Linked DNA regions of Tribolium castaneum. The protein of the gene in region 1 interacts with the protein of each later gene in a pairwise test. Links are inferred from orthologs where the notes say so. Each region holds a gene or a part of one and is shown on either strand. Other genes may lie near its edges.

What was found.
Region 2: the proteins of CASK (region 1) and eag interact in binary tests that used the Drosophila melanogaster proteins (3 or more experiments, as listed by UniProt). The link is inferred for Tribolium castaneum from reciprocal best matches to the Drosophila melanogaster genes CASK and eag.

Annotation. Positions count from the first base shown.
Region 1 is NC_087400.1:7,151,930-7,155,752, reverse strand, and holds part of CASK (peripheral plasma membrane protein CASK), read left to right. Parts: intron 1-316; coding exon 317-492; intron 493-545; coding exon 546-668; intron 669-725; coding exon 726-909; intron 910-3,823.
Region 2 is NC_087402.1:8,616,585-8,621,147, reverse strand, and holds the start of eag (potassium voltage-gated channel protein eag), read right to left. Parts: upstream 2,904-4,563; 5' UTR 2,497-2,903; coding exon 2,418-2,496; intron 1-2,417. UniProt on the Drosophila melanogaster protein: Structural component of a potassium channel. Mediates the potassium permeability of membranes; potassium current is regulated by CaMKII and CASK. Has a role in growth of the perineurial glial layer of the larval peripheral nerve.

The DNA.
Region 1 (3,823 bases):
TTTAGATACTTCCATCAAACTTTGTTGGTGTATATCACGTTAATAATCTCAGAAGGTTCGGTTAGAGTTAAATTGACTTAACTTCCAGAGCCGAGGATCAAATCTACATCTCATTTGTTTTGTCTTAATCATCTCATATGCTGCGCAGTGCACGCTACTGTTTCCTTGCGATGTTTTCAACGTTTTGTTGAAAGTCTCAATCAAGCCACAAGTCTTTTAGTGCAGGAGGTAGTGTTTTTTTGATCTGGAAAAAAGTGCTACCTCCTGGGTATGTACTTTTGTGGCTACTTGGCCCAAGTTTGGCGTTTTTTCCCAGGCCGAGTGGGATGTCCCAACTTCATGGCCCCCGAAGTGATCGAGAGGCGATCGTACGGCAAACCCGTGGACATCTGGGGTGCGGGTGTCCTTCTCCACATCCTTCTTTCCGGCGTTTTGCCTTTCCATGGAAGCGGCCGTCGCCTCATGGAATCTATATGTCGCGGCAAACTGCACGTGAGTTAACTCCGATATTTTTGCAGCAGCTTATAAAACTCGGCGGCTTCCAGTTGGATTCGCCGCAGTGGGAGCTCATTAGTGATAGTGCAAAAGACTTAATACAACAAATGTTAACTGTGGATCCCAAACAGAGGATAACGATACAGGAAGTTTTAAATCATAGATGGCTGAGGGTAATTATGGCCGTTTAGATAAGAATGCGTCGACTGGAGGTCGGGGATTTGTTACAGGATCGCGATAAGGGATTAAGGATTCATCTCGGCGAGTCGGTGGAAGAATTAAAAAAATTTAACGCGAGGAGAAAATTAAAAGCAGTGATTTTGAGTGCGGTCAATTCGAGTAAATGGTATCCGTACGACGAAACGAATTCGGACTCGCTCTCGGACTTCGGCGACGACGAGATCTCGGCGTGCGGTAAGTGATTTCGATTTTTTCTCTGAGCGATTGTTAGAGTTGTGAAAAATCTTCTTTCGTTTCGGGTCTCAGAAAATTTCGCTAGCGGTAATTAGAGCTCGAATCGTCTCATTCGGGTGAAATATGGGAACAATTCGGGATGAACTGTTGATGTGCACAAACATAAACGTCTGGGGAACGCGGCCATTTATCACGAATTGTTGAAGGTTGTAGTGTTTCCACACCCACTCTTTAAGAATCGATGTTTGCGACGCAACAAGTAAAAAGGGTCTCGTTTGGTCATCATGAGATTTTCTTTAAGATTGTTTACACTGGCATCATCAATCGAGGGAATTTTTCTCTGCCGCTTTATTTAACCGAGAATGGCAGGAAAAAAGGGCCTGCGGTCGGGAGCACTTTGCAAGGGTATTGCGGTTACAAAGCGGTCGCTTGTAGATTTAATTATGAAGCTCCTTTCCGGGTTTTTCTAGGTCTTGTCGCCGGATTAGAGTAGATTGACCGTCTCTCGTACTCCCCGAGGTGTGATCTCACACACGCTGCAGCCAATTTTAATATAAAGTAGATGCTTAACGAAGGTAAACTACTCTTTATTCGATTTAGCCTTCCAGTAATGAGGCTCGTAATTGCTGGTAAGGAACAATAAAGAACTTTCTTTGCCTTTAAAACATGCAAATTAATTGCGACGAGAGGCGGCGACAAAGGGTTGTATCTATGGTGGAACCGAGTTATAAATGTAAATGACGTAACCCAGAGTAATTAAAACGGGAAAATCATATACGCAAAAATTATCAAGTGTACAGGGTGGAACCGTATATTTATTCCACTTTGTGTAGACTGTACCCCGAATTAAATTAAATTAAACGGTTGAGATAATTGTTCTATTCTGAGGAAACTCGCCGCTTAAATTTAAACGATTCAAGTTAATTACTATAAAAATAAATTTCGCCCAAATCACCAACAAGCGCTTCAATTTCTCCAAATACAGCCTGGCCCTGCGACTGGGTACATGTATTTACTTTTATTTGAAAACACAACGCCTTTCAACTACAACGTGGCGGTCGTTCTTAGGTGAGAATACAAACGAAACTAGTTTAACAATGTTGTTTTTTGCTTTATATACCAACTTTACTTCCTCCACCACAAACTAAGGAATAGAAGGGGGTTGTTATCGTAAGCGGTAAAATATTTTTTGCTCGTAGAAGTAAAATAAGTTTGTAAGGCAAAATATTGTTAAAACGCTTTGTTTTTTTCAAATAAAAGTTCGGTGTGACTGGTTTAAAATTGAATTTGTATACCCAGTGTCATAAAAATTGCAACACCAAGAAGGAATACGATTTTTTTGATGAAACTTGGCACAAATGTTAGTCTATTAGCAGGCATTAATTGATTAAAATTTGAACATTTTTAATCAAGTGGTAACACTTAAACTTTTTTACCAGCAAGTGTTTTTTTTCGTTTGTGACAATTTTTGAAGTGATTTTTTTAAATCCGTTTAGTTTTAAGTATTATGAAAACGAAAATATGCCTAGAGTATGTCAAAAAAAATTAACAACAATTAAACAAACTTTAAAGAAGCACAATTTTTGGGAAACGAATAGGTTTTTTTCATTTGGAGGTACTACTATTTGTTTGAATGGTAATCCAAGTAGCATTATGCGATGTTATCAGTATGATTAGAGAAGGTTCAGGACAAAGCAGAAGAGGAAGCAGCCTTAAAAAATCAATGAAGTCCAAAATGGTCATCTTCGTATTATGGTAATAATCCAAGTACAAGAAAAATTTCTGACCAATGGTTGAGTTCGAAGGTCGTCGTACTTCGCTTCTGACTGTTTACCGTCGAATTAGGTTATTTAGACTGCTTTTTGTTGGATTTCCTAAGTATGGGAGGAATGAGCAAAAACACAGCTTAAACCTGACACACCAAAACTTTTATTTGTAAAAACGTGTTTCAACCACAAAGTGGTCATTCTCAGGTGAAATATACACTGTATACACTGACCATATTATGGTCGAAATGCGTTGTGTTTCGGAATAAAGGTTTGATGGATCAGGCTTAGATATGCGTTTTTGTCCATTTCTCCCATAGCAAGAAAAACCAAAAGGAAACAGTCCAAATGACCAATTTCGATGGTAAACAGACCAAAGTGAAAACGACCTTTAAATCCACCCATTGGGCAAATATTTGTCTTGTAATTAAATTATAGCCATACCCTGAAGACGACCATTTTGGACTTCATTTGTTTTTTTTTAAGTATGCTTTCTCTTTTGCGCTGTCCTGGGCCTTCTCCAGTCTATGATTGATAACATTACTTAATGTTACTTCGATTTCTATCCAAATGACTAGCAATTTTCTAAATGAAAAACCCCTATTTGAAGTCCAAAAATCATGCCTCTTTCAAAATTGCTTAAATTGTTGTTAATTTTAGTTTTGTCGTCTCCAGGTCTAATTGTGCTTTTAGAACACCAAAACCTAAACGAATTAAAAAAAAAACATAAAAAGTTAGTCGGAAAAGCAATAAATTGGAAGAATAACACTTGCTGGTAAAAGAACTCAAATGTTGAAAACTCCCTTATCACTTGATTAAATTCGTTAAAATTGTAATCATTTATTACTCGCTAATAGTCGACCATTTGTGCCAAAAAATTCAAATTCCTTCTTAGTGTTGCAATTTTTATGACCTTATTTTCACACCAAGGAAATCAAGAAGCGCGGTCTACATGTATTTTCGGCAACATCCAGTTCTAAAGAAACCAGTACCAGTGTACATAGTGTATTATTGAACACGTGTTTGAGAAGTTTCCCTTTAAATTTGGCACAGAGCGATGTGGAATATTCCTGGTGTTTTAACGTTTCTATTATTCAGGCTGTTGGATGATCAAATACGTTGTAGGAATTCTTATTTGGTCTCTTTTA
Region 2 (4,563 bases), on another chromosome or scaffold:
TACAGCACGTCATTAGTTCAATTTATTGACAACGGTATGAACACTTTACGTTGCTCCCTTAACAACAGTTTCAAAATCGAAAATCAACATTGAGAGTTTCCGAGTTTAATGAATTAATTTTGAACGTAAGAGAAGCTATTATTGACATATTTCTAAAGTGTAAATAACAAACTCTTAATTAGCTGAACCATAAAAAATTCTACAACATGTCAGAGATAAACGAGAATTATGTTACACCAACGCACCTTCTTATTATTTGGCGAAATAAAAACGCGCCACCTTGGGATTATTCATTTTACGTTCTTGGTTCATGAGTCGAGTTTGTGCTCGGATTATAAAAGAGAAGAGAGAAAGTTTATTATAAATTGAGCACCTCAACATCAATCATAAAAATGTCAAGAAGTTTCTCAAATATTTACAAAAAATATCTTTGTACTACTCTACTACTCGCTTTTTAAATAAAAAACGATCAAGGTTGGGATCAAAGTAGTGCACCATAAAGAAGAAAAATATCACGCGTCCTAAAATGAGATTCTTTTGCAGCCAACAGAACGAACAGTGGTAGGCGGAACCGAACAATATCTTTGATCTCATTTCAATATTTAATATACATTTGAGTCGTCCAATAAAAGTTTTATGAAACCTTGGCTTCAGCACCGTATGTGGTGATTTGGCAAAACATGAACTTATTGACAACATACTGAATAATACAGATTTTATTCCCTATTTAAAGGATTTAGTACCGCAAGTATGAACTTTGTTTCAAAATTTCTATACTAATAATTCCGGCAACATTTGGATAATAAAATTAATGGTAATACAAAATTTTCGTACTGAAATGTTGTTGAAACGGATAATACTAAATCAATACAAAACGTTCGGTTTGTTACCAACACCTGAATAGGAATTATACTTTTCTCGATCAATTATGAAACACCTATTGTTGTGCATTTGTTATTGAAGAAGAATGTCAAGTCACCCTATAATCAAATCTCGCTTCGCTAAATTTTTGATTGCTTTCTAATTTCGTATTTGATTCTGTAGCTTGTTTTCTAACACAATATTTGCTTGTCACTGTGCCTGTCATACTGTAGTGTGCAAAGTACACAAACACGACGTGTTGCCAGCTGTAAAATAATCCCGAAGGTAGATTTGTTTACGAAATTAAATTGTCAATTTAAAAACGAACTTTCCTCAAAGTTGATAATTAACCGCTGGTTCAACTCAAATTAAGTAATTTTCCATTAATTAACTTTACGAAATAAGAGAAAGCCGCGCAAACCGCATAAACCAAAGAATTAATTATTTAATTTCAAATAATTGTAAATACTTTCGTTAAAATTTTATAACATAATGGTGACGTATGTAAGGTTTAATGAAGTAGAAAATTGATTTTATAGCTTTATATTATGAATCGATAAGTGTGAATTGCTGTATTGCTGCATCGTAAAAATTTAGACACGAGGTGGTCATAAATATTAAGTCTCCAAGTTTCGGGCTTTAAACAAACGGTGATCAATTATGGTGGATGCGCCGGGCCAAATTTAAAACTCCTCATCATCGCAGTTTCGAATTTAGCTCATTAAAAAATAACAAATTGGGGAGGAGGCTTTAGTTCCTCCCAAAATTCATAGACGTTCATTAAACACAGTTAATGATCTCCATCCATCACCTCAAATTACCCCTCAATGTGTTTTTCCCGGTGACAAATCTTGAATGTCGTCAGCAAGTGCACTCCCTCGTGATTTGCATTCCCATCTCTGAATCTTTATTATGCATCCGTGTTTTATTCAACAGCCACATGGCATCGATTCCAAAACCTAAATAAAGCTCGAAAGCTCTTCTGACACCTGATAAATAGTTGGTACGACCTCGGCTTTCATACTCCTTGTTTCTACTAACCCACATGCGGGTTATCTGGCAAGGTCATTGCTGCAATGTCTAGACTACATCAGCCAAGATACATTATTTGCCTTGCACACACTATCATTAACCCATTTGCAAATATCGATTATGAAACGCCAACTGATACGACTTCTCTTTGCATAAATGCGATTAAGCTAAACCGCTTTATGTATTAGAAATATTTTTCTCCGAGCGAGTTTAACCAGGTCGACGAACGCGAAAATGGAAAATATATCAAAAGTTCCGTCATGGTTTACTAAGTGACAAATGTAGCTACAAACCAACTTTTACGAGTGTTTAAAAAGTGTCTAAATCAAACATTGTACGTAGACTTGCTGCAAAGTTTGCCGTTTTTTTAAGTCCGCAAAAACAAATTTGCCTGCCGCCATTTTGGGTCATGGGAGTTCCCTAATGGCAAAATTAATTCGGCCTTAAATTAAATTACGTCCTTCTGCACCGTCTCACTTTTTACAATTTTCATTTCGTTAATTTCTCCAAGCGCAAAACCTTACGTTGCGAATTCGATCTCCTGATGATGTTTTCCAGAAACGTGTTCTGGGGGGCGACAAGGCCCCTTCGTCCTCCCGGCATCTTTGGTTTCTTCAAAAGCGCAAAGTTTTGCCTGTCATCTTGCCGTAACTGACATTGTGTTAGTCTTTCACGATTCGTTGCGAAGCCATAACCACACTAGCCGGAGTCTAAGTGCCGTAGCTTACGCACCATGGTATTTTTTTTCGGGGGCACAAAATTTGCACGTGCATGCTTTAGACACTAGACCGGCACTTTCGTACATATTTCCATAACTGGGCGAAAAAAGACGAATTCCGATGCTAATCACTACATTTTTAAACTTTCTTTTCTGGAGTTTGCTTGAGGTTTTCTTGATTTTTGCGGGCACGAAGTGAACATATTTGCACGATATGTTCCATTATACTGGCGGTATAAACACGGTGCCGACCGAATATCGCCACTGAATAACGAAAAATCGAAAACGATTCGAGCGCCAGGCGTCAGGACGCAACGGCGTCTTTGCGTACTACTGATCGGATTTTGAAGTAAGACGGGTAGATAAAAACGGACGCTTGTTATCTGCTTACCCTAACTTTGATTGTTTTTGACAATTCTGCTTCAGTTGATCACTTCAGGACAATCCACGCCAGACAAACAGCTTTCAGCTGGCTTGAATATATGAAATTAACTCTCAAGGGCGGATTTGAGTTATTGGCGTTTAGCCTAAGCAGAGGAAGCACCAAAGGCAAAAACACGATGGGAAGTTTTAAATTTTTGAGGTGTTGACGCGTTATTTTTATTTTTAATTATGAAATTTTGAGGCTGTTTCAGAAAAGCAGGTTTACTTATCACAAGAAGACAATTTCTTGCTCGTATTCCATGTATTTAAGAGCGTTTTCAGCAAGAAATTTAAAAAAGAGATTCGTTATTATTCCTGTTTTATACCTAAATCTGAAACAGTTTTCACCAACAAATGCACAATCCCGAAAAAAATATTTTTGTCTATTTTTTCTTTCTTAATAGAAAAATCTTTGACTAAACGACGTGAAAAAATTAAGGTGGAAACGTGTTACAATAGTTTTTCTTGTTTTTAAAAAAACGTAATTTTCTTACAGTTTGTCTGTTTTGTAGTTTTATTGTATGCGGCACTTACCTTTCAATCCCAAATTCTTGTTTCAAATCTTAAACTTTCACTCTTTTTGCTCGCTTATTCGCGTGTAACACTCCGAGGTCGCGATGATGTGATAGCAACTTAACCGACTTTTAAATAAAAATCAAAAAATTGTTTAAACTTTATTGACTTTAATACAAAATTAGTATTTCTTTAAAGATCGACGGACGGGCATCTCCACCTTGAGCTGCTCCCTCATACGGTTACAAAATGTTGATGGATCTTTCCAATAAGCCTTCACCACCTTTTCCAGCAACAGATTTCTCGTATCGATCATGCTATCTCCGCAGAAAGGGCACAACTTCAATCTTCTGTGGCAGCAACTACAAAAACTGTGCCCTCGGTCACAAATGAGGATTTTTGCTTCCATTATATCGAAACAAATCGGGCATTCAAGCGATTTCGGTACTTCAGCCATTATAACTAGATGTTAGAATTAGTTTACACGCACTTTTACGTAAATTAAAACTTCGTCACTTGACTGCTTGAACACGTTTATCACAGGTTTGAAGAAAACCGCTGCAAAAACCGATTGTGATAAATTTCGGTTGGCAGTACCTACTGTGCCGGATACTGAAATATTGAAACTATCTACGAGGGAAATTCAAGTAAAAACCGAATTCGATTATAACGTTTTATTGAATCAAAAATTAACAAAACTCTGTAAATCACATTTAGAAATAAATACGTACCTATTCGAAATAAGTTAGCATTAAACAAATCAAAAATAAGATAAATTTTAACGTAAAAGGTTTCGATAATATCATTTGCGACTTTAATGTTTACTTTAAAAAAAAATTAACTTTCGGTTGAGAGTCCTAAAAAGCTCAAAAAATAATCTTCTTTGTGTCTAGAGACAATAATTTCATTCAAAATGCAAACCAATTTTAAGCTTTCGATATTTTTAAGAGACTTGTTCACCATAAAAGGGAGAAAAGGCTGTATTCATCCAAGGGAGATTTTTTCCATCAAAAAAT